6 linked regions of the Coturnix japonica genome follow. The protein of the gene in region 3 interacts with the protein of the main gene of each other region in a pairwise test. Links are inferred from orthologs where the notes say so. Each region holds a gene or a part of one and is shown on either strand. Other genes may lie near its edges.

Region 1 (4,220 bases), on a different chromosome or scaffold from region 3:
CCCTGCACATAACAGGGGGGCTGAAATCAGATGATCATTGTGGTCCTTTTCAACCCAGGCCATTCTGTAATTAATTCTATGATTCTTTACTTCACTACACCTCTTACCAGGAAAAAGGAAGAGCTCTAGTAGTTATTTCATGGGCATACATTTAACAGGTTTAATGTCCCTTCCAACCCAAACCATTCAATGGAAACCCAAGGACAGAAAAAGAAGAGCCACTCACACTAACAGACCACCAACGCCTTCTTTCAAAGCATATTTTACACAATTCTGATCATTCTTCTAGTTCAACTACAATTTCAGACTCAGTTCCCAACCCTAAATGGAATTAATTAAAGCATAAGTAATGGTGCACAGAAGTATTAAGAATGCTTTGATATGTTACCTCAATATCTACACCAACCTGACAACAGAGCATCCATGAGGAACCGCATACACCTCCCGGTTCTACGGATCCCAAACAAAGCTCCAATGTTTGCTTAAGAACTTCACAAGCCATAATGAATGGCAGTTTAAAAGAGCATCATCAAGAAACTCCAGATCAAGACCAAGCCTGTATTGAATTACATTGCAAAGTCACAAGTTAGCGTTTTTTTGGTGTTGCTTTTACATTTTGGGGGCTTTCCCTTGTGTTTGTTAATTTTCTTTTAAACACAGTGGATCAGGAGCTGCTTCTAAAGAAGGTTTTGTAAAAAGCACACAGATATGATACAGCACCTTTCCTTCCCTGCAGGCATTCAAGGCCAGGCTGGATGTGGCTCTGGGCAGCCTGGTCTGATGGTTGGTGACCCTGCACACAGCAGGGGGAACTGGATGATCACTGTGGTCCTTTTCAACCCAGGCCATTCTATGATTCATTCCATGACTGCAAGAGAGCCACGAAGCTAAGCTTAGGCACAAGTTATCAGCAGGAGCCTATCTAAACACTAAACCAAATGTGCACCTTACAATCATGATTTCTCCACTTTGGCACTGAGAGAAAAACCCGAAACATAACTCAACATAAATGTTACAAATTTAAGTCCTTATCACCAAATCTCACCACCCCAAAAGCACAAAGTTAAAGAGCAGCAGTGATAAGGCTAAGAAAAGCAGGCTGCTTTCTATACCACTCACAACTGTTATTTATGCTGGTACTGACAAATAATGTGACGAACGAGAGGGCTAAGCTGGAACTGCCCTACAGCAATTAATTCTTTCCATCTTCTCCAGTTGCTTGTCAGCAACAACACCCTTTTACCCAAACTCTCCACTAATCTAAAATATCCTTTGGAAACACAGAAAGCAACAGCCTCAAACAGACAATTCTGGGTTACCTCTATTCCTTCGAGTGCACTTTGTAATATCAGCTGGCAGTACAGGATCACACACACTTACCAATGAAAGGCAGGAGGACAAATAAAAACCAACCCAAGTAATTCTTCAGGCCAACGTTTCTCACATTTCCCAACGTGGAAATGAGAATTTTAACTTCTTTTTTTTTTTTTTTGCCTGGAAAGCCACAGCAGCCAACAGCAGAACAAGGAAGCTGACGCACTGCACACTCAGTTTCAGGAACGTGAATAAGAAAACTGAAAGTACAAAGCGTTTTTAAAGAGCAGCACTGCACAGCTGATGACCAAACTCAAGGCAGTGGCTCGAGTGTTATCAGAGCGTTCTCAAGCAGCACACAAACCATTGGCAAAGGGCTCCCCAGCCTATCTAGGGCTTAACAATCACTTATGAATAAGAGGAGCGCTGCACAGAATCACAGAATTGTAGGGGTTGGAAGGGACCTCTAGAGATCATCGAGTCCAACCCCCCTGCCAAAGCAGCTCCCTACACCATGTCACACAGGTAGGCGTCCAGGCGAGTCTTAAATATCTCCAGAGAAGGAGACTCCACCACCTCCCTGTGCAGCCTGTTCCAGTGCTCCGTCACCCTCACTGTATAAAGGAACTTCCTATGTTGTACTTTCATCCCATTACCCCTAGTCCTATCCCCACGCACTACTGAAAAGAGACCAGCCTCACCACTATGACATATACATATATAGCACTATGGCTCTCCAGGTCCATCAGGTTGCCTAGAGAGGTGCTGGATATCCCTGCACACAGCCAAGGTCAGGCTGGATGGGCTGTGAGCACTGATGGAGCTGTGTGTCCCTGCTCAGTGGGACAGGTGGTCTTTAAGGTTCCCTTCCAACCCTAAGGATGCTCTGTTGACCATGAACCCACAGACACAGCCTGTTTAGCTCCGTGCACATCAGCCCAGCCACAGTTACCTGGATGCCACATTACCTGGATGGCACACGGAGCCTCTCAGGGCAGCAGCCACCTCAACTCCTTCTGCCAACATCGAAGGACGACCTGAAAAACAACCAACCACACGAGAAAAGAAAAAAAAAGAAAGAGCCACTATGACAAACAGCCGGTTATCGGCCCCGTTCAGCTCAAGCTAAGACCCAACTTCATGCTGCACCCTTAGCGGGAGGCTCCACGTCGGTACACGGACGGGCTGCCCATGTCACGGCCTGGAGGGCCCAGCACTCCCAGCACCGAGCTTGGGACGGGTCTCCTTCCTCAGCCCCACGCCGCCCTCCCCGTTTCTCGGCTCTCGGAGCCCGCCGCTATTAGCGCAGCCCAATACATAGACAATCCGACCGGTCCCATTGATGCCCGCAGCCCCCACACACCATAACCGTGTTGGCCGCCCCGCCCCGCTCCGCCCGGGCCGCATCCACCGCCGCTCCGCCTCACCGTCCCCACTCCAACGGTCCCCGGCCGCCTCACGGCGCGCAGCCAATCGCAAAGCGTCTCCGCGGGGGCGCGCACCCTCCGGCCAATCCCACCCCGCCCTCTGCCTCCGAGAGCCAATGGCTGAGCGAGCCCTCGTGCCTCGCCCCGCCTCCTCACCTCCACAGCCAATCGGCGAGCGGACGCTTCTCCGGCGGCGGACGTGCGTGAGCTCGCCCCGCCCCTCCTCGGGAGCGCTCGTGCTCTCCAGCCAATCAACAGCCGGCGGGGCTTCGCGCGCTCCCGTCTCCTGCGCAGGCGCAGTGGGCGGTCAGCGCCTCTCCTCAGGGCGATGAGGGGACGTCGAGATGGCGGTAGTGAAGCTTCAACCCCCTCCACATCTAATACCAGCCCAGGCTGCTCAGGGCCACATCCAACCTGGCCATGAACACCCTCAAGGATGGACGGAGCATCCACAGCCTCATTGAGCAGCTGTTCCAGCACCTCATCGCTCTCACAGTAAATAACTTCCCCCTGACATCCAACCTCAACCTCCCCTCTTTGAGTTCTCTCTCAGTAACACTTTAATTCAGCCCACTGTTATGTTTTCCTTTTACCCAACTGGGATGCTGTGTAAAACAATTCTACCTCTTCTCATCCAGCGCTGCTGCCTGCCCTGTGCCCCCACTGCATTGGAGCCATCCGCATCTGAATGGAATTACAAGAGCAAAACACCTCCTGGGACTCAGCTTCAGCACAGCTGCCATTTAAAGAGCTGTGGTTTGGCCCAGCTTCAGGGGGAGGTCAGCAAAGGGTCTCGGTAAGTGTGAAGGGAGACGGCAAACCCAAATTTAGCAGCAGGGAAGAAGAAATAAAAGCAGAAAAATAAAGCCTTGGGGTTGGTTAGGTGTTGTAGGGAGAAGTGGAGGACTTGGAATAACTCAGTGTATTTTTCAATTAATCTGAAGTAAAAGGAGATATTTTCCAACAGGCTGTGTATGGGTTTTCATGTGCCTGTGTTCTTTTTCTTTCTTTTCCCATAGTGATGCAAGAATACTAAAAGAACCACAAAGAAACCACAGAGACCCAAGGAAAGGGAGCAGCCCGAGCTCCCCAGCTGTGAGGTCTCACCAGCACTGAGGCAGCAAAGTCATTCCAAGGACAAACCTCTCCTCAGTGATGAATGGTGCAAAATATGGCGCAGATTGGAGCCGCTGGCTGTCGGAAAGGTGAAGTGCAGGAGGACAGCACCACCTCAGGTCTGGTCTTACAACAGGAGAGATTTGTGCAGAATTGGCTGCTCCAAGGGGAGCTCTTGATGGCACATTGAAGAGCCAGAGCATGAAGCTTACACAACCATCGCTTGTCTGAGCTCACTGCGTTGTGACAGCGGGTGAGCCGGACCCTCCTTCATACGGCATCTCCAAATGTGACGTGGTTCATGGAGTGATTAGAAATGTCAGACTGGAAGGAATCTCTCAGATCACCAAAAACATCTCCTTC
Region 2 (4,090 bases), on a different chromosome or scaffold from region 3:
ATCTCTCACATGCAGAGAGGACAGCACTTGCCTTCCCATGCACAGCTCAGCCTGAGCCGCCCACGCAGGAGTCGCAGTGCAACCATGGCGATTGCTGGCTGCACACAGAGCAGAACTTCTTGCTTCTCCTTCCTGGCATAGCTTTGTGTTGGCACGAGCAAGGCAAGGACCCCAGCACCCCCTTCCTGGTGGCTCGTCATCTGCTTGTCTTTGAGGCACAGTGTGAAAGAGGAATAGGAATTGCGTCAATTCCAGCTATGTGGTGTGTCTGAAAATAACCAGTCCTTGCAGATCTGTCACATCGAGGCCAACATCTTCTGGCTGAGAGGGTCCCAGAAAGAGCCCCACAGACCTGAAATGCTGTTTGCTGCAGTCAGTGAGCCCACATAGGCTCAGATAGACCAGGGTCTGTGCTGGAGCTTGGACTCACTCAGCTCTCGGAACCTTAATTCATTAAATGGGTGCAAGTTTGCCTGCACTGAGGCTGCAGAAAAAAGCATAAGGCAGGTGTAGCAAAACCCGTTTGGCTCCCTGTTGGGTCAGCATGGCAGAAGGCAGGACTGTCCTAAGCAAACTGCACAGCTTCACTTCTAATCGGGCTGTAATTCAATTGAAATGATGCAAGTCTTAAAAATAGATAGGCTTAATTAGCAACAGGTCTATTCACAGAGTCGGTAGAAGCACATTGTGACATGGCTTGAGCGAAGCTGTGGTAGCGAGGTACACGCTGCAAGCTCTGACCGGCCCATACAGACTAATTGCAAGCAGCTTAATTTTGTGTCTGTAAATTAAGCTGTTTGACGATTAAGGCAGTGATACACAGAGACTTCCAGGAGTGACGGGGACATTAACATGCTAATAGAGCTTGCTGGTGGAAGGTTTGCTCAGATACATCCCAGGGGGCAGATGACAATTAACGTCCTGAGAGACTCTTCTGGAAAGAGGATGGTAATTCAGACCTGCTGGGAAGGAAGAGATCCTTCACACTGATAATGATTTATGATTCCTTGACGTAGCCCTGCAATCTGCACTTCAAGAACGCCTGAGGTACATCAGGGTGGGTGAACTGGGAGAACCAACAGTGACAATACTGAGAGGACGGCCTGCATGGCCATCCCGGGGAGGAAAACAGGACAGAAGGAAGAATGTATATTTCTGCAGGGGATAAAATGGCAAATCAAAGCAATCAATGGTCAGGTGCGGGCTCATCCCGGTGCTGAGCTCGGAGCTCCCCGTCGCTGCGTTAACCGCGCTCCCGCCCCGCGCTGTCCCGCCCCCCGTGTCCGCCATCTTGCGGCATGGCAGCACGGCCGCGGCCCGCCCGGCCCCAAGATGGCCGCCCGCCCTTCACCGCCCGCTTCCGTCCCGCTGAGGCCTGCGGCTCCGGTTGCGGCGCGGCCGGCGGCTCATGGCGCTGCTTCGGCTCCTGCTGCTGCGGGGCCGCTGCGGATGGAGGCCTAACCCCGCGGTGTGGGCCCGGCCTCGGCCCCGGGGCCTGCAGGTAACGGAGCGCGGCTGGGCGATGCGGGGCCTGCGGGGGGAGCGGGGCGGTGCGGTGCTCGGAGGGCAATGGGTGCGGGAATAGAGATGGGAAAGGGCTTGGGTTGTTTAGAGCGAGACATAGACTTGTATGTAAAGTCATAGTCATACAATTGTAGAATCCTTAGGGTTGGAAGGGACCTTTAAGGGCCGTCTGTCCAGCTCCCCTGCAATGAACGGGGACACCATCAGGTGCTCAGAGCCTGGCCCTGGGATGGACCATCCATTGCATCCCTGCACAACCAGCTCCAGGGCCTGGCTGTGCTCTGTGTGTGTCACTGCCTGCTGGGGTTGTTTGGGAGGGTGTGGAACTGCTGTAGTGCTAATTAACAGCTGGGAGAGACCATTCTTATTTCTAAATCCTTACTAAAGACTATGGGAGACTGATTGATACTGAAGAAGTCTGACTCAGTGAATGTCACTCAAAGCAAATGCATCTTAATTTGGCAGGTTTCAATCTCAGATCCCAAAATATCTGGGTCAGCAGATGGGAAAATTGTCCAGAAAAGCCAGATTGGTGTATCTTGTGTGGAGGAATTCAGCTGTGGAGCCTGGTGCCCTGATTTCAGCACTGGTTGAGGTTAATGCACTGCCTGGGCACAGCCCATGGCAGGAGGTTGGAACAGATGACCTGTAAGGTCCCTTCTGACCCAAGCCATTCCGTGATTCTATGAGCTAGGCCTCCTGTAGGACTTAAAGCTCTCTAAAGTGCAGGGATCGAGTGCAGGCAGCCAGGTAGGCAGTGGAGGAAGGACAGCTGTGGGATTGCTGTGTGCATCATGCCAGGCTTTCCAACTGCTTCGGTTCTGTGATCCATTTAAATTAGTCCACAGTGTTCCACCCCAAAAAGCACTGGTGCTAACAGGGCAGCACAAGCAGCTGTGTTGCTGTCTAGCAAGTAAGGAGGGTGAGGGATTTCAGCCTAGTTGTTGCTCCTGTCTGGCTTGCTGCACAGCAGCTTGTCTCTGCCATTGAGGCACAGCGGGACAGGGAAACATACAGCTGAGAAAGGGGAAGACTTGTGTTTACTCAGGGTATTAGTTTGTGTCAACCTTCAGATGCTGTGAAATCACCCTTCCGTGTGGATTTCAGCCATAGGTTTGCTGCTGAATTCCCGTGGGGAAAACAGTTGTGTTACTGTTGTGAGAAGGGCTACAGTGTAGTAATGCTTAAGATTATCTGCTAGGGGAGGGTGTGTTTGTATCTGAAGAGTTGATTTCCCACCTATCTCTATAGCAGGGGCACAGCAAGGGAGCTGATCACAGTATCCAAGTGTTTTGAGTATACGTTTCTATTTATACTTGCTTTAAACTGGATTGTAAACAACATCTTCACAGTCACATGGCAAGCTCATAGCACAACCAGGAATAATATTTGGAGCTTCCAGCTGCCGGTCCTGTGACTTACCCACAATATTTTCATGTCCAGAAATCTTTGTCTCACGGGATGTGGGGCTGCTAAGCAGTCACGGTACTTTTCCAATAGTTGTCTTATTTTTGTTGTTGTTTCCTTAATCTTCCTCTTCAGGGCCTCCTGTCACAAACAGTTTCCCCCACGTGTCAAGGTCTCGGTGGGGTCCTGGTGAAGCAGCGCATCATCCGAGATCCAGCCAGGCTTTGGAATCTCTTAGGTGAGTCTTGAAGAACAACTGTACAGATGGAGGAGGAAAAAGGTCTTCTATAGGAAGCGTGTTGACTTTTCCTCGAGTTGAAATCAGGCTGTTCTGTTCTTGGCTTTGGGGACAGTGAGCAATCTGCAGGGGTTCTGGGTTATTGTTTGATGGCATAGAGGGACAGTAGCACCTTTCCCCAAGGAGCTCGGTGTGATGAAGCACTGGAGTCATCAGTCATTTATGAGCAGCAGACTTCAGACCGGACAGTCTTACTGTGTCTCATTAGCAAAGTTAAGAAGAAAACATCATTCACTATGAGAAACTGAAGCTTAAATCACTTACCTCGCTTCTCTCATTTTTTGTTGTTTTCTTGACAAAAAAAGCCTTCACTCCATTGTTCTGCAGCATCCACTCTGAGTTTTATTGTTTGTTGCCATGCTTTCTTGGCTTTTATTAGAGAATCCCAGCAGTGTGTTTTGAGAAACCTGCTTTTAACTCCAGCACACGGTTTCCTTTAGTGCCCATTTCCAGCTCCACTGTGAGGCTGCTTTTAACTGACCGTACCAGTTAACTTCAGTTATGCCTTGGGGAGTGTTTAAATGTTTCAGTACTGAATGCACTGCTCCAAATGATTTTCTTTGCCATACTGAAATCATGTCTGAACAAACTCATCTCTTCAATTGAATTGTTGAGAAGTGTATGTTATATAAGGAAACTGGAGGAGTCTGTCCCTCCCATTACTCCCTCTTATGAGGCTGTTTCATTTTCTTGGCAGGCAAATGGAGCTGTGTTCTTGGGTGGGTGTGGAACTTGGATTTCTGTGCGTTTGGATCTCATGTGTTTCTGCTGTCCTTGGTCCACCTCTCTCTGTCACCTGAGGTCTTTGGTGGTGACTGTGTAACTCTGCTTGCTTGCAGGTAGCACTTGCTATTTTACTAC
Region 3 (3,500 bases):
TCTCATATTGGCTGCCAATAAATATAACAAATGTATTTATGCCAAGTACTTCATTATGAGGAGCAGGGAAAATCCCTAAATATAGAACGCAGGCAATTCTAATAAACTGGGTCAGCTTAATGAAACCTCCAGTCACCTCATTTTCATCTTTATTGACAGCATGCTACAGGTAACACAGATTTATGCACACATAACAATCACAAGGATAAAACATTTTCTCAAGCTGAAAGAAGTAAGAAGGATTTACCCAACTGTCTCTCAGGAAATAGATTTGGTTCTTAGAGATCTGAGCTCACAAAGAGACGTAAACTTGTTAATAAGACACGTTCCTTTTTCTTTTGTATTAAACAATGAATTCCTCAAACGCAGGATTTAACTGGTTCCCATAGAGTCATATGCAACTATTGATCATAAGGCCACTACAGAGCTGCTGAAACAGATTTGGATTAGTACAGCCCATCCACTAACAGGAAGCTCAGCTCAGAACTGTACTGTGCATTCCCCACTCCTCCCATTTAATGAACTTGTCAGAAAGAGCTGGAAAGTCTGCAAGCAAACACATGAACCATTTGGGAATTTCCACAGCCTGGGTAACTCTGAGCAGATACGGCAGCCCTGCCAGGAGGTGAGGCTGCTTAACACCTTCCTTCATGTTGCTTTGTTTATAACACTGTCAGACATTAAAGCCTCAGAGACAGCCCTCGAGCCTTCCTCAGACAGGTCATGCCCAAGACAACACCTCCCTGTTACTTCCAGCTCACAGCACCAAAGGGGGCATTTAATTGTGCCTACTGCTTAGCAAGCTGATGGCTGCTTAGAGATTACAGGTCTGATTGATAGCAGCTATTAACAGCCTCATCATAGCTATGTAAAGAAAAATGCTGATCAAAGCCCAAATTGGATATGTGAAATGGGGCGGTATGTGAATATTTCCCTCACAAAGTTGATGTAGAGTAGTCATCCTGCCCCAGCATATCCTTGTCTACAAAAGCTTTGAGTCTTCAACACTGCCAGTCTGCCAGGGTGATTCTGATATACCTCAACCCATTCCAATTGCTTTCCTTTCACTTGAAAGACCCACTCAGTCATATTTACAGGGGGATAGGATGCTTTGGTCCCTCTCCAGAAAATAAATGTTATCCTGCTAACTCTACTGTAGAGCAAACCACACTGCATACCTGCCATAACCTCAGTACTTTTCATGTACATACTCCTCCACAGTTAGCAGAAATTGGTCCTTAGTTTCCAGCTGTGTTAGCTAATGTTGCCTGATTTTCCAAATAGCAACAGTATGGACTGTAGAAAACTATGGTCTAGAGAATCAGAGAATCATAGAATGGCCAAGGTTGAAAAGGACCACAGTGATCATCCCGTTTCAACCCCCCTGCTATGTGCAGGGTCACCAACCACCAGACGAGGCTGCCCAGAGCCACATCCAGCCTGGCCTTGAATGCCTGCAGGGATGGGGCACCCACAACCTCGTTGGGCAACCTCTTCCAGTGTGTCACCAACCTCTGTGTGAAAAACTCCCCCTAATATCTAACCTAAACCCCCCCCGTCTCAGTTTAAAACCAATCCCCCTTGTCCTGTCACTATCCACCCTCATAGACAGCCATTCCCCAATCCTGTTTATGTGCTCCCTTCAACTACTGAAAGGCCACAATGAGGTCCCCCTGGAGCCTTCTCTTCTCCAAGCTAATGAAGGTCATGTCACCCCATAAAAAGCCAGACAGCTGCACAGCCTGCATTACACTGGTTTTAACTTCAGTTAAATGGTAATAATCCAGCAATTTTCTCTCAACTTGCAGGGAGATTGTGAAGATACCCTAGTAATGGCTGGCACAGACAAGCTCACAGTGACTTTATTAATCTGTCCTCTGGATGAAAAACATAAGGCATGGACTATGGAACCTGAATGGGAAAGGCAGCAAGCACTTTGCTTGAGATGTGATAATACTCTTACCAAAATCTGTACTCTAAGATCACCTGAACAGTTGTCTGTTAACATGCAAGAAGGGCCAACCAACAGTCACACATGAGATTTTAATGTGGGTATTTGCTGGCTTCTGATTGTCAGCTCTGTCACCAAATGTGTTATTTCAAGGCTGTTCCATGGATAAATACTGTATATAGAATGAGGTAGGTATATAAAATGAATAATTGTATTTATTTTTTTTAATTTTAGAATTGGTTAAAATTAAATACAGTTGTGGGATCTTTGATATTTACATAGAAAGCTTTTCTGTTGAGCTAGCTACCATAGGTCCAAAGCAGTAGACTCAAGGGCACATCACAGACCTAAATATAACCCCCTCTTCCCTGTCCTTTTCACCACCTACCAAGCAACATCAACATTGAACAACTGTGCCCAACTCCCAGCAGGGACTAAGGGAGCCTGCACTCCTGCCTGGCTTACCAAAGTGGAAACACAACCAGATATAAGGTCCCAGAAGTGGGCAGTGGGACTTCCATTACCTTTTGGCTGCTCAGGAAGACTTTCCCAGGAAAGGTGTTTTCTCATTTAAGATGGTAGGCAATACAGAACACTGCTTAAAATGAGTCAAAAGGAAATCTTTTCCTGCATGATGTATATAATCTAATGAAATCTGACAGTTCCTGTTTTTCTGTATAGCTGAACAGAAGCGAATGCATATGGACCGCTAGCGCTTGGACTGCAAAAACCAGCCAAGATTCCCATTAAGGAGGAAAAGTTTCTGCAGGCAAATCACATTAATTTCCAAAAGATGTTCTTTGGAAAAAAAACAGAAGATCCATTTAAGGATAAATTCAACCAGCACACCTTTTCCTATCTAAACATCTCTATTTATACACTAGCAGGTGACTTGTATGCTGGGAAATGCTGGAGGAACACGGTGACAACTTCCAGTCACAGATCAGACACCACATCAAGGTCAGTGCCAGAAAAGGTTACGTTTATTCCTACTGATCATGTATTGCTTTGCTTTAGGATTTACTTCTTCGTGGTTTGAGAACTAACTTCTGGCAGCAACAAGTAAGCAAACACTCACAACCCAGCACACAAAAGTGTCAAAGCCACCTGCTTACCTCCTGCAAAAACTTCTCACCCATTGGGCCAAAGTGATGACCTGGAGGCCTAATTCCTGACACTACCAGCCCAGAACTGAAGAGTCTTGGCTTCTGGAGGTCAGGTTTAAATTTGTCATACAGGATGCTGGGGGCCTTCCCCTCCCCTCCACCAGATGCCTTCTGCTCTGTGGAGATGGGCACTGTGCATGCTGCGGTACCGTATGGCAGCCCTGCTGGTGCAAATGAAGGGTCAAGCTGCTCTATTGAACGAGGGTTTCTTCTGATGTATGTGATGATTTTAGGTCTCACGGGTTTAGGCTTGGGTATGGCAGGTTTCACCTCCATGCTTTCTTCCAGTTTCTCACTGCAGTCACTGTCAGCATCCACCTTATCTGTGAGGGAGCCCTTGGAGTGAACCAGGATAGGTTTGGGGATTGCGCTGCTGCTGGCAG
Region 4 (4,017 bases), on a different chromosome or scaffold from region 3:
GATTCATTTTGGCTGGCAGCGTGCGGAGCAGGGTAAACAACACACGAGCAGTTCCAGGGCGCTCCAAACGCATCAGGCACACTTGGAGGCCCTTCTTCTTCCCATAGCCAAGGGTGTCTGTGCCCCCAAATTGCTCAGCTCCCTCCTGCCCCATTCCCAGGCTGGCATAGGGCATCTCTGCCCCTATGACCCCTGCAGCCCCTCTGTGGTTGCTCCTATGACAGCCCTCCCTCCCTCCATTTCTATTTCCTTGTTTTGGAGATTTCTCTCTGCTGCATCCCTGTTCTCTACCTGCAGAGCACATCTCAGCCTGCAGAAGAGCTTGTGAAAACAGCCAATTACAACTGAAACAATGGAACGAATCAAGGTAAAGCATCTCCATGGTGAAGGTAAAGCAAAGCACTGAGCAAAAGATCATGCAAAGCCTCATGCTGGGCTTTGGGTCATTCCCACTCAGTGTGGGGTCAGAGCAGTGCTTGTACTAGAGGTAGGCAGCAGGTGAGGAGCTGGATGTCACCCACTTCATTTCTTTCTGTTCCATTTGCACCATGCACTGCGGCTCCAGGATCTTATTACTTCCCACCTCATCCCTTCAACACATGCAGCCAGGGCTAAATGACTTCTGTGCCTCATTAGCAATGGGATCACCACTGTGTTAGCTCAGAGGTGTTTCTCTTCCTGCCTCAAACACCCCAATCCAAAGAGGGCACCTTGTGTCTCCTGCTCTGCAAAGGGTATTTTGGGAGGATCTCCCACACTTCTCACTGGGTTTAATGCCAAAGGCCCCAGGAGCAAAGGGCATACAGGGCACAGCCAGGGTTCTGCTGGTAGCCACCAGGAAGGGATGCAGCTCCAGTACAGGAGGAATGAATGAGATTCATTAAGTTGCAGTGATAAGCTCCAGATGTTGGTAATGGTGCTTAATGGATCTAATGCACTTCTCATGGCTGTGCATCACCAATGCACCTTTGGAGACCCTTGGTCTATCACTCCTATCACTCCTGCTGCTTCTCGGTGTTTTTGAGACTAAAACGAGCATTAAAAGTGGCCTGTGGGTTGTGCAGCTTGGGTTCCAAATCCAATCTCAGCCAACTACATGTTCTCATGCCCACTGCCCATGGCTCCAGGGGTGGGAAACCCACCGCCCCCCGGGCAGCTCTGCCAGTGAGGGGAGGGGGCGGCCCTCAGGAGGGACCTTGAGGGGGGCGGGTGATGATGCTGCAGCCGTGGGTCTGAAGGGGTTTGTGCTATGGAGGGAGGTGCTCGGCTCTGTGTACTGCTGTTCCCTGGGAGACGGGGTGGGTGTTAGGTTCCCGGGCAGAGAAGGGTTTGTTGCCGTGGAAGGAGAGCTGGGGTTCCTCAGTGGCTGTTCCTGGGTGTAGGAGGTTGAAAAGGTGGTTTGCTACGAGGTGGGTTCGTTGTCATGGCTGAGAAAGTAAAGTTTGTATTAGCATAAGGAGCACTAACAGCTCCAGCGCTGGAGCGATGCCGGCGCCAGGTGCGCCCAAACTCAGCAGAGCTGAGGCACCTGTGGCATCTAACGCTCAGCTCAGGGCTGCTGCACCGCCGGAGCCGGCCAAGGACGGTGGAATCAAGGTGACATTATGCAGCAAAGTGCCGAACCCGAAAGACTTCGTGCGCATTCGGCCTCTGCCTTCATCGGCTCAGACAGATGGGAAGGTGTTGGCCAGGAGTTTTACGCTGTACCGGAGCCGCGGGCCGCCGTCAGAGCAAGTGTTCAAGGAGACGTGGCAGCGGAGGGAGCAGCAGCGCACACAGGCGCTATTCACCCCCCGAGGGAAGCCCTACCGAGAGCTGGGCGATCTGTCATGTGCCGACCCAAAGCATTTCACCCTGCGCTCCTTGGGACAGCTCGCAAAGGTAGAGCCGGCTTTCTGCTTGTCTTTGTATAGGAAACAAAGGCTTCTCTTTTAAGTCCCCGCATGCAGGGGAGGAGAATGATTGCTGTTGTTTAAATCAGTGTTCCCTGCCTTTCTTGTGGAGAGCTGCAGTCTGCCCTGCTGCTGGTACAGGGTGTTTGTACAGGCTGGGCAACTGCTTTGACCCGTGCTATGGTTTGGGAGCTGGCTTTTGTGACTGGGAGCAGCTGTTAGAATGGAGTCGGAGCAATGGAAAGTTAATGAATGAAAAAGAAACTGTGGAATAATGAATGTGATTTAATTAAGGGAGAAGGTACAAGGTGTGTCTGGACAGTGGGAGGAGAGAAACCATTTTGAGGGTGTGAGGATGAAGGGTTAAAAAGCAAGAGCAGACAGTGCTGGTATTTAAAGGGTCAAAGGCTCCAAGTTGTGGATGTCCCAGCCCTGGAGATGTTCAAGGCCAGGTTGGTTGGGGCCCTGGGAAGCCTGCTCTGGTGTAACCAACTGCTGTTGGTTTTCCTTTTCCCATCCTAAGAAGTAACAGTTACCACACTGGGACAACAAAGCATTTGCCTGGCCCTGAATGCTTTGCTCCATCCCCACAAGGAAGGCCCAGAACTTCAGGCTGTTCTCCCTCCCAGCCTCATTATTCAAGTTGCCAGTGTGCTTTGCAGAAACCAATTTAAGCTTTCATTTTCTTTTTCCAAACATACAAAACCAAAAGTGGGTTCCTAACGGCCCAATTTTAAAGTACTTTATGACCTGCATTTTGGTTTTGTGTGAATTATTTATGCCCAAATCCTTCCATCCCTTAGCAGTCCCCATAGCATCCTGAATACCTTAAGGATATTGTAGGTACCGGGTGCATCCAATTCCAGGTGCCTGAGAGTGCTATGAAATATGTTGTATTTGATGGATGACAAATACAACAAAAACAGCAAGGAGCTAATAAAGGCCCTGGGAATTCAGGGGGCTTCAGTATGTTGAATCTGCTGGCAAATGTCACAGATATGATAACAAAAGAAGCCCTTAGCAGCTAAAAACATTTTCATAATGAGTGTGCTGAGATGGTTACACAAAATGATATGGGCAGAGGATATTATATGTGGTGATTACATGTTTAGGGTCCTTTTTATAGCTACTGGATGCTAACAAATGTGTTTAGAGAAGCTGTATTTGTCCACTGATGCTGTGTCTTTATTAAGTACATTTGGTGGCTGAAGCCTGAGAGCTGATATTTGAATGTTCTGATTGTTGCATTGGAAACTGCTGCTCTGTGATCACACAGTGGAAGTGGCATCTGTCTTGCAATAAAAGCTGGCTCGGTGCAGAGACAGAATTCCCTTCCACTAAAACTCTCTGGAATGAAATGAGCCCATTTCCAGACTAGTAAGAGTATCTGGGAGGAAAAACTTAGCAAGTGTCCCTCAAACTCTTCACAGAGAGACTGATGAGGTGCTGGAACAGCTGCCCAGAGAGGCTGTAGATGCTCCATCCCTGGAGGTGTTCAAGGCCAGATTGGATGGAGCCCTGGGCAGCCTGGTCCAGTACCAGATCTGGAGGTTGGTGGTCCTGCCTGTGGCAGGGGGTTGGAAACTGATGATCCTTGGGGTTCCTTCCAACCCAAAGCCGTTCTGTGATTCTATGAACCTTTTGAATGTCCAGTACAAATAATTGGAAGTTACTTCATTCAGTCTGAGGGATTTTTTTTCTCTCTTTCTCAAAGGTCAACCACGTATTGCAGACAGCACTGATCCATGGATGCTTTCCAGACAGTATTTTTGATCTTTCAGAGCAATGTGTTAAAGGTCTTTTTCTTATTCCTTCATGTGGCAGCTCATGTGGTGATTGGCCGCCCTTTATCGATGTTTATGTAGCTTCTTTGCTTAATTGCTATGACAAATTCATTTGTTAAGCTTCTGAAGTGGCTCGTTGACTTTTCACACGGAAGAGAGGTGGCCTTTCTGACAGAGCCCTAAAAACAATCCAGGTTCACGAAATTATTACCGTCAAAGCCTACTCCATGCTTGTCATAAAAACCTATACTGTAATTCTGTGCTTTAGATAAATAGATCACTAGATAAGATTGACGGCAATATCAGCAATGAAAGGTTTTAAGCTGGAAACTGGAGAAGAA
Region 5 (4,070 bases), on a different chromosome or scaffold from region 3:
GGGCCCCTGGGAACACCCAGAGTGGCACACACGAGGGCAAAGCCTCCATCTCTGAGGGGCTGAGCCACAGCATCCTGCACATCTCTGCTCCCTCCCCATTGCCATGACCTGCTGGCAAGTCATTCCCCTCCTTGCTGGCCTGGTTGGCACAGAGTGCTCTGTGCCTGGCCCTGCATGTCAGAGGGGCTCCCAACCATGCATCGTGCTCACTGAGCCTTGCTGGACTTCTCTCTCCAGCCCTGGAGCAGCTGCCCTACCTGCTGCCTGCCTTCCCCTTCCCCTCCTGCTGGGCACATCAGCTCCGTGCTGAGGTTGATGTACTGATACAAGGGGCGCAGACGTGGCAGCCGGCCTGGAGGGGAATCACAGAACGGTTTAGGCTGGAAGGGACCTGAAAGATGACGGAGCTCCGACCTGCTGCCCTGTTCCCTATGGGTGCTCACCCAGCGCGTCCCGAGGTGGGACCTTTTTGCACGGCTGCGTGTTGCTCGTGCTTTTCCTCTTCTTGCTCTTTCCCTGCGGCTCGGCAGCGGGGTTGGCATCGCCCTCAGCAGCGGGGGGCTGCAAACCGGGGTCCTGCAGCACCTGCAGGTGAGTCCTGCGGGACAGGGATGTGCTGCAGGCCATGGCCAGCGCTGCGCCGTGCGGCTCAACACGGCGGTCGGTGCAGCACGAAGCCGGCTCCCGAAGGGGACGGGCCGCCTCACTTTGCGTCCTGCGTTGGGGCGGACATGGAGCAGCGCCGGGATCCGACAGCGGCCGGGAGGAGGCTGCGGGATGGACGGGGGGGCGTTACCGGGGGAACGCAGCAACAGCGCGGCACTAAGCCCGGCCCGTAGCGGGGCCGATCCGAGCCGCCCATCGTGCCCACACCTCCGTGCAGGCGGGGCTCAGCCCGGCACGGCCCCAACATCCCCCCCCGGCGGAAGCGGCGGTTGCCCGGAGCGCGGTGGGTGCGTGCGGTGCGGCCGGAGCCCGGCGGGTGCCTCCATCCTCCCCCATCCCATCCCATCACATCCATCCCATCCCATCCCGTCCCGTCCCCCCGCAGCGGTTCTGACCCGGTTCCTTCCGCCCATAACGGTAGGGAAGGAGCCAACGGCCCAATTGCCACGAGCGCTTTGCTCGGCCCCGGCTGTCTCGCTCTGCTGCTCGCAGCTCCTATCGCAGCTCTTATCGCAGCTCTTATCGCAGTTTATCCACAGATGGATTCATTTATTCCTTTGTTCCCCCCGTGCTTTTTGCAGAACCGGGCTCGGAGCAGCACAAAGCCGAACAACGCAGCTCCAGCTCCGCATGAGGTCGCAGCTCCCCGGCCGGGCTCGCAGCTCCGGTGGGTGGCACCGAGCTGTGCTGGAAGAGGAACGGCCGGGAGGAGCGAACTGCGGGCAGCTCAGTTTCCCTGCCCCCCCTGCAGCCCGGGTGAGCAGGAGCTGCTCACGTACATCTGTTTGCTGCTGGCAACAGCTGCTTTTGATGCTCAGGTTTCTAACACAGCTTTACAGATGCTTTCCTAGGTGCATATTAGGGCTGGCCTTGCTCCACCTGTAGCCACGTGCTCCTGCTGCTCTCCTCCTGCTTGCACGGTGCATCTCTGGTTCCTGCGTGGGGTTGCAGCTGGGTGGGATGCAGCCTGCTCAGCCCTCAGCTTCCAAACAGCCCCATCCTCCAGCCCTGCTGTCCCACCGATAGGAGCAAAGCAGCCACCTGCAAATCCTGCTCTAGGGAGCTGTAGGTTTGGATGCTTCATCCTAAGGCCAGATGATGATGATGATGCTGGGGATGCTGGGGGCTGTTGTCCCACATGGGAGGGTTTGCTGTGAGCACCCAGATAGGCAAAGCACTGTCATAGTGCTGTGTGATCTTGTGAGATCCAAAGCCAGAGGCAGCGTGACTTGTAAATCAGGGTGTGGGTGTCATCTGCAGGCTGCCTGCAGCAGGGCAGGGTGCCACTGGGATGTGGGCCCTGTGTTCAGGTACAGGAGGAGCCTTCCATCCCCCACCTCCCATCCCATCTGCCTGCCTTTCCCCCTCCAGCCCCCCCTGCTCTAATTGCCTGCTCTGTTACAGGGCCTGCTTTCACTCTGTCATTTTGCACCTAAATTACTGGCGTTGGAGGAGAGTTCAGACCGAGATCAGATGTGAGTCTCAAGGCCAGTAACTATCCCGGAGTCATCTCTTGGAGGATGCTTTTGTTCTTGGTATAAGAGAGTCCATTCTGGCTTAGCTCTGTCCATTTTAAATGGGATTAAATAAGAAGAGAATGGTGCTGTTTTACTGCAGCCTGAGACTCTGAAGCATTTCAGGAGTAGCCTTTGCAGGATGACTGGGTACAAAGCAGCCTCTGGACATGCCTGCTGGTGTGCAGTGCTTGCACTGCTTGCGTTGCCTCTGCAGTTGTGTCTGGGAGATGAATAATAGCTTTTTGCTAATGGGTCTCATGTCAACAAGGGTAATTGAACAGGGAAGACAGCAGTGCATTAGTTGCTATGAGTCAGGCTCGCTCAGCCTTGCACTGGTTGTTTATTGGTTTCTAAATGAAATGGGAGATGCTGTGTCCTGTCAGTGCTGGAATGCTGAGGATCCTAAAAGGGGCTCTTCCCATAGGGCTGAATCTGTTGGTATTGCAGACCCAGGAGTCAGATTTTCTGTGCTGAAGCTGTAGGCAGACATTGAGGATCAGTGCTGGTCAGTCCTGCAGTAGGGGTGGTGCTGCTGGATCCTTTGCCTTACCTACATGAAATCACAGCACGGTTGAGTTACAAGGGACCTCAAAGCCCACCCAGCCCCAAGCCCTGTTGGAGGCTGGTTGCTCCCCAGCTCAGGCTGCCCAGGGTCCATCCATAGCCTGGGGCACCTGCAGGGATGGGCACCCACAGCACTGGGCAGCCATGGGGTCCATTTGGGGTTGTTTCCTACTTGCAGGTTGTCCCTGCAGTTGGATATGAGCTCTCTGACATTAGCTGCAGCTCTGCAGTGGCTCCGTGAGCTGTGTTTAGTTCACCTCTCACTCATGGTCGGTTTCCATTGCAGAGACAGCAGAATGTGTGAAGGGCCATCCAAGATTTCTGGGCCCATCCCTCCAGACCCTACGGTCTTCCCAGACTATTACAGACGCCCTTTCTCAGGTGAGTCCTTGGGTGCTTATAAGAAGGGAAAACATGAGGCAGAGGTGCAGGGGGACCTTTGGCATCACTTGCTTGAAGAAAGCAGTGATGTGAGATGGTGCCAACCTGCTTTTTGTTTCTTTCTTTCTCTGTAGCTCGGGGGAGGCTGGAAGGCAATGCTCAGCGGTTGGATTTTACCTCTCACCCCACGGATTCAGCTCCCAGCTCAGCCCGTGCTTTGAGCAGTGCCCAGCAGCCCCAACCAGCCCCTCGCATCCGCCCCAGCGGGAGGGACTACTTGGAGAAGGGGCAGAAGGGAACGCTCGGCCTCCTGCTGCAGCTCGATGGGCTCTCTCTTGGTGGGGGTCTGCCAGCAAAGAGTAAGTGCTGCCTGGCTCTTATTGGCTTTGTATCCTGGCATTGCCCCAGGCTCTGGATGGTGCCAGTGTGGTGGTTGCCACAACCACTGTGCCAAAACTGGAAGGGAACCAGCTGAGGTCTTCCAAAAACAGGGTCAGCCCTCCCAGCATGGGGGGCAGAATGCACAGATTGTGTGGTCTTTGGTGGGGGGAGGACTTGCTGTTTCCACGGGTGGATTTAGAGATGGAGCTGTCAGCTCTGGTGTTGTGATCCAGGAGCCTACGTCTGCTGGCAGTGTTTGAGGGCTGAAAGCTGTGTCTCCCCTCGCTGTGCAGGGAAAGAGTCCAAGGACCATGAGAAGGAAAACGTGAGGAGAATAAAGGAGATTCAGAAGAAGTGCAAAGAGAGGGAGCGAGCCCAGGAGCGCAGCCAGCCCAAACCTGTGAAAGCTCTATGGAAATCCCAGAAATATGAGAACGTGGAGTCGAAGGTGAAGGCCAGACTGCAGGTGTGTGCCCAGGGGGCTCTTCAACTCTCCTGGCGGGTCAGAAGAATAAAATCCCATCACCCGTTCTGCCTGCTGCCTCCTGTCGTAGCAATCTG
Region 6 (3,964 bases), on a different chromosome or scaffold from region 3:
CTTGATGGCTAACAGCATCATGGATGATACACTTCAGACTTCAGTTGGCCTCGCCGGCTGCCTGGGCACACTACTGACTCACACTCAACGTGCCATAGATCCAAATCTCTTTGAGAGACCTCGTGGCTGAGGGCTAGCATGTAACTATCTCATTCAGCAGTAACTTCTGAAAGCACACAGCAGCAACAGCTCAAAGAACAGCAGAAATACCGAACCACACGCCACCACAAACCGGCTTCCTGAACGACACGGTCACCAAAACAAAGCACAAGCCGGTAGCTCCCAGTTGCACATCAAGCACTGACCATACGGGCACACTCCGCAGATGGCAGGTACCAAAGGGAGCGGTGGCGACGCTCGCACCCAGAACTCTCCGTTGCCCCCAGCCGCGCGGCGGGGCCTCACCGTCCAGCCGGCCGCCCGAGGGCCTGCCCTGGCTGCAGCCCCGATGGGTCGCGGGAACGGCGCTGGAGCGGCAAAGCACGCAGCTCCCGCTCCCAGGCTGTTCTCCTGGAAACAAACCTTGAGAAACGGCAGAAACATGAGAGGAAGAAACAAAAACAACGCAAACAAACGCGGACCCGCAGGGCAGGGAGGAGAACAGCCGCTCTCCGCCAGGCTGCACCCCGCGGCCTCCGCCCGCCGCGCAGCGCGGCACAGCCCGCAGAGCAGCGACGCGCCGCTCCTCACCTTGGCTCTGCCAGCCTCCAGCTTGCGCGCCCGCGCCTCCTCCATCTCCTACAGAGCACGAACAACAGGACCCTACCGCGGTACAGGGCGCAGCCCGGCAGGCACACAACTTTCAGTCATGGCCGCCCCGCGGCTTTCGCCCCGCCCGCTTCCACTCAATTCGCCAATCGCGAGGCAGCAATTGTGGGCTTTGGCCAATCAGGTAGAAGAGGTGGAGCGGCCTGCCGGGGAAGGAAGGAAGCTCTGCGGGGATTGGCGAGAATCGCCGCGCCCGGGGAGCCCGCAGCCAATGCCGCGAGAGATGGTTGTCCCCGCCCCGCCCGCTGCCTCTCAGTAACTCCTGCGATTGACGGCAGCGCCCTCCGCTTCGACCCGCCCCACTCCAGCGGCCGCCAATGAAAGACGCCGCCTGCCGCGGCGCGCGGCTCGTTTCAAACGGGAAGCTCCGCCAATGGGGACGGCGGGGTGGCGCCCGGGAAAGCAGCCCGCCACTCGGCGCCGTGCTGTGGGCTGCGCGGCCTCGCGTCACGGCCGCTCTTCGGGCTCTTCTTCGCTGTTCTACAGCTCGGCTGTACAGCTCGGCACTGCCTGCCTTTGTTGCGGGAGGAGCAGCTGGGGGGAACTTGCCTGCTAACGGTAGGAGTGTAGTAAACAATACGTAAGAAAACGAGGGAGAAATAAGGTGCTCTGTACAACTTCACATTCATCTGCCATACTGGGAGCCTCTCCATCTCTTCAACTCACTGGACCACAACTGAAGGGCAACATAACAAGACACGGTTTTTAAAAGTGATTTCTCACCATATCTTAGTTCAGAGGTAACCTGTTGTAAAACACTGGCTTTTCCTTTCCAAGAAGCCTAAAAATGAAAATGTGTGTGGAAAGAAGCACAAGAAAGAAACACGTTCTAAGAACCAAAGGATGTTCTGTCTCAAAAAGAACCTTACTGACAGCCTAGTCCTGACCTGCCATGACTGGTTGTCCCCATCATCCTCCATCTTATTTATAAGCTTTCCCCAAGTACTGGAAGTCCTCAATGAGGTCTCCCCTCTGGCTGAACAAACCCAGATCCCTCAACCTTTCTTCATAGAGGTGCTCCAACCCTCTTATAATCTCTGTGGCTGCTCCAACAGCTCTGTGTCCTTCTCATGCTGGGGTCACGAGCTGGAGGCTGTCCTGCAGGTAAGGAATAAAGCATTGGTCCAATATGTTATATCCAAGTAAATATTTCAGCATGAAACAAAATAAATGGGGGAAAAAAAGAAAAAAGTAGACCAGTCAACTATACAGGGATATTGGACCAGAAAGTGACAGGAGATAAGCTCCTGAGACAGCACTTGGTCGCCTCCTGCCCTATTAACCCTTGGCTGTTTTCCTCCAGGAGCACTTCCAGGTGCTATGCAGTGGCCGTGCACTAAGCCAGGAAGCTTAGTTCCTTCCCAGTCAACCCTAGAAAAAGAGCAAATTTGTACTGTGAAATTTCTCAGTGCAAAAGCTTGAGTAGTTGACATGTTTTGAGAAGTAAAAGGAAATTGGAAAGCTTGGAACAAAGAATCTTAAAAGATAATGTTATAGTGTTTATCCTGGCAATTGAGCCAAATTAGATACATTACTTGAATGGATTTGCTTTAAAATAAATTACTACTTTTACTTATTATTGATAAAACCTGATTTAAATAACTAATAGTAACTAAATAACTCATGTTTGTTTGGGTTGAATGCCTTTTGGCTTACTGATATTTATTTGAATAACTAATTTGTGTTGTATTTCCTTCTATTTCTGCATGTTACAATTTCACCATTTCTAGTGCTAGTCTAACTACATTGCCTCCAGAACAGCAGTGCTTAAGAAAACCTCTCTTGGTTAGGGTTTCAGCTGTCCAGTAGTCTGCCACCACTGGACTTAGAGCACAGAATTCAGGTTTTGTGCTGTTGGATTAGCTTTGCCACACAAAGGATCATCGTGATAGAAGGATAAAGGGAAAATGCTCATTGTTGTTGAAGGTTCACAGCAAACTCCATAGAGGAACAATCTCCAGAGGAAGAGATGCTGCCTTAGTGGCAGTCAGCCCTTAAATGAGACCTGGGAAAGATGGAGCCAAGCTCCACCCCTTCTGGTAGCAGAGCTGAATTACCTTCACCTGTGCTCCCACAGCTGACTCATTGCTTGCTTCAGGTGGTTAATCAGAGATTCAGGTTGTGATCAACAGTTTCCCATACACCAGGTATGTCTGTTTGTTTCCTTTTCTAACATGTTTTAGAAAATAGTAATTAATATTGAGGCATAAAGTATCAAAGTCAATAAAAGACATCATAGAAGTGTAGTACTGGTTCAGAGCTCACCATTCTGTAACTGAAGAAGGATCTGATCCACCTGCAGTGTTCATCACGACTTCTTATGTGAATTGTTTATAAACATATTCTGTGAGAGCCCTTACTTACATAGCAGCTCCATCACTTATCATAAAATTAAGTTTTGTTTTTTTTTTGTTTTTTTTTTCTGTTTTCAACTGGTTTTCATTTTTATCATTAAGTCAAATGTTTCTTGCTCAGACTTTTCAGGCAATAAAATAAATCAATCGTGTCCTTAATATTCTTTCATTTATATTGCTAATTGGCTCTATCTCAACATTTAATCAATAAATTAAACAATGCCCGTTCTTCAAAGTCTTTCTCAGACCTTGTATTTTGTAAATCTACCATTCCTTCCATTTTTTCCCCTGGACTTCCTTTCCCTCTTATGCTGCCATGTCTAAAATTAGACACAGTGACTTCAAACTATGACTTCAGCACTGCTAAATAGAGCAGAATAATTACCTCCTGTGAGGTGCACATAATACCCCTGTTAATATTTTTCAGAATCAAATTTTTCTGGCTTTGCTTTTTTTGGATTTTCATGTTCATTTATGATCCCTGGTTCGTGATGCACAGTAACTACAGAAGCACCTTTTGTACAAGACCCTTGTGACTGGCATGCTGCTGGCAAGTTGGAAGATGTCCCTGTAGTAGGGATCCCACTATGATCAGAGCATCCATAGGTTCTGGAAAGCATTTTTTAGCTAATATTAGATTTTCTCTGGGACCTTGTCACATCAAGCAAAGGTTTCTCTTTCTGTCCTCTAACAGTCATCCCAGTTACTTAACACTCCTAATATATTTTTAATTAAATACTTCAGTGGGGCTGTTTTTGTCAACCTTTCTTGTAACCCTCTATTCCTATTACGATGAAGAGTTTAGAAACTTAACTTCTAGGGGATACTTTAAGAAACAACTA

What was found. The genes of interacting proteins can lie anywhere in the genome.
Region 1: the proteins of MTUS2 (region 3) and DTNB interact in binary tests that used the Homo sapiens proteins (3 or more experiments, as listed by UniProt). The two-hybrid records come from large-scale screens. The link is inferred for Coturnix japonica from reciprocal best matches to the Homo sapiens genes MTUS2 and DTNB.
Region 2: the proteins of MTUS2 (region 3) and SPG7 interact in binary tests that used the Homo sapiens proteins (3 or more experiments, as listed by UniProt). The two-hybrid records come from large-scale screens. The link is inferred for Coturnix japonica from reciprocal best matches to the Homo sapiens genes MTUS2 and SPG7.
Region 4: the proteins of MTUS2 (region 3) and CCDC60 interact in binary tests that used the Homo sapiens proteins (3 or more experiments, as listed by UniProt). The two-hybrid records come from large-scale screens. The link is inferred for Coturnix japonica from reciprocal best matches to the Homo sapiens genes MTUS2 and CCDC60.
Region 5: the proteins of MTUS2 (region 3) and ENKD1 interact in binary tests that used the Homo sapiens proteins (3 or more experiments, as listed by UniProt). The link is inferred for Coturnix japonica from reciprocal best matches to the Homo sapiens genes MTUS2 and ENKD1.
Region 6: the proteins of MTUS2 (region 3) and C7H21orf58 interact in a two-hybrid assay, tested with the Homo sapiens proteins (3 studies listed by BioGRID and IntAct). The two-hybrid records come from large-scale screens. The link is inferred for Coturnix japonica from reciprocal best matches to the Homo sapiens genes MTUS2 and C21orf58.

The regions. Positions count from the first base shown.
Region 1 is NC_029518.1:95,642,749-95,646,968, forward strand, and holds the start of DTNB (dystrobrevin beta), read right to left. Parts: upstream 2,801-4,220; 5' UTR 2,742-2,800; exon of another isoform or gene 2,678-2,741; intron 2,352-2,677; 5' UTR 2,283-2,351; intron 740-2,282; exon of another isoform or gene 721-739; intron 1-720.
Region 2 is NC_029526.1:16,665,999-16,670,088, forward strand, and holds the start of SPG7 (paraplegin), read left to right. Parts: upstream 1-1,290; 5' UTR 1,291-1,408; coding exon 1,409-1,501; intron 1,502-3,066; coding exon 3,067-3,169; intron 3,170-4,068; coding exon 4,069-4,090. UniProt on the Homo sapiens protein: Catalytic component of the m-AAA protease, a protease that plays a key role in proteostasis of inner mitochondrial membrane proteins, and which is essential for axonal and neuron development.
Region 3 is NC_029516.1:157,076,712-157,080,211, forward strand, and holds part of MTUS2 (microtubule-associated tumor suppressor candidate 2), read right to left. Parts: coding exon 3,067-3,500; intron 1-3,066. UniProt on the Homo sapiens protein: Binds microtubules. Together with MAPRE1 may target the microtubule depolymerase KIF2C to the plus-end of microtubules. May regulate the dynamics of microtubules at their growing distal tip.
Region 4 is NC_029530.1:8,620,509-8,624,525, reverse strand, and holds the start of CCDC60 (coiled-coil domain-containing protein 60), read left to right. Parts: upstream 1-1,217; 5' UTR 1,218-1,485; coding exon 1,486-1,881; intron 1,882-4,017.
Region 5 is NC_029526.1:1,873,260-1,877,329, reverse strand, and holds the start of ENKD1 (enkurin domain-containing protein 1), read left to right. Parts: upstream 1-1,270; 5' UTR 1,271-1,296; coding exon 1,297-1,422; coding exon of another isoform or gene 1,423-1,484; intron 1,485-1,497; exon of another isoform or gene 1,498-1,517; intron 1,518-1,540; exon of another isoform or gene 1,541-2,070; coding exon 2,071-2,141; exon of another isoform or gene 2,142-2,201; intron 2,202-3,033; coding exon 3,034-3,128; intron 3,129-3,262; coding exon 3,263-3,487; intron 3,488-3,802; coding exon 3,803-3,975; intron 3,976-4,070. Other genes in the region: uncharacterized protein LOC116653968, read right to left, coding at 258-352, 444-770, 874-913. UniProt on the Homo sapiens protein: Microtubule-binding protein which regulates microtubule organization and stability. Promotes the stability of astral microtubules and facilitates the proper orientation of the mitotic spindle.
Region 6 is NC_029522.1:2,271,132-2,275,095, reverse strand, and holds the start of C7H21orf58 (uncharacterized protein C21orf58 homolog), read left to right. Parts: upstream 1-1,164; 5' UTR 1,165-1,611; coding exon 1,612-1,872; intron 1,873-3,251; exon of another isoform or gene 3,252-3,964. Other genes in the region: PCNT (pericentrin), read right to left, coding at 691-735.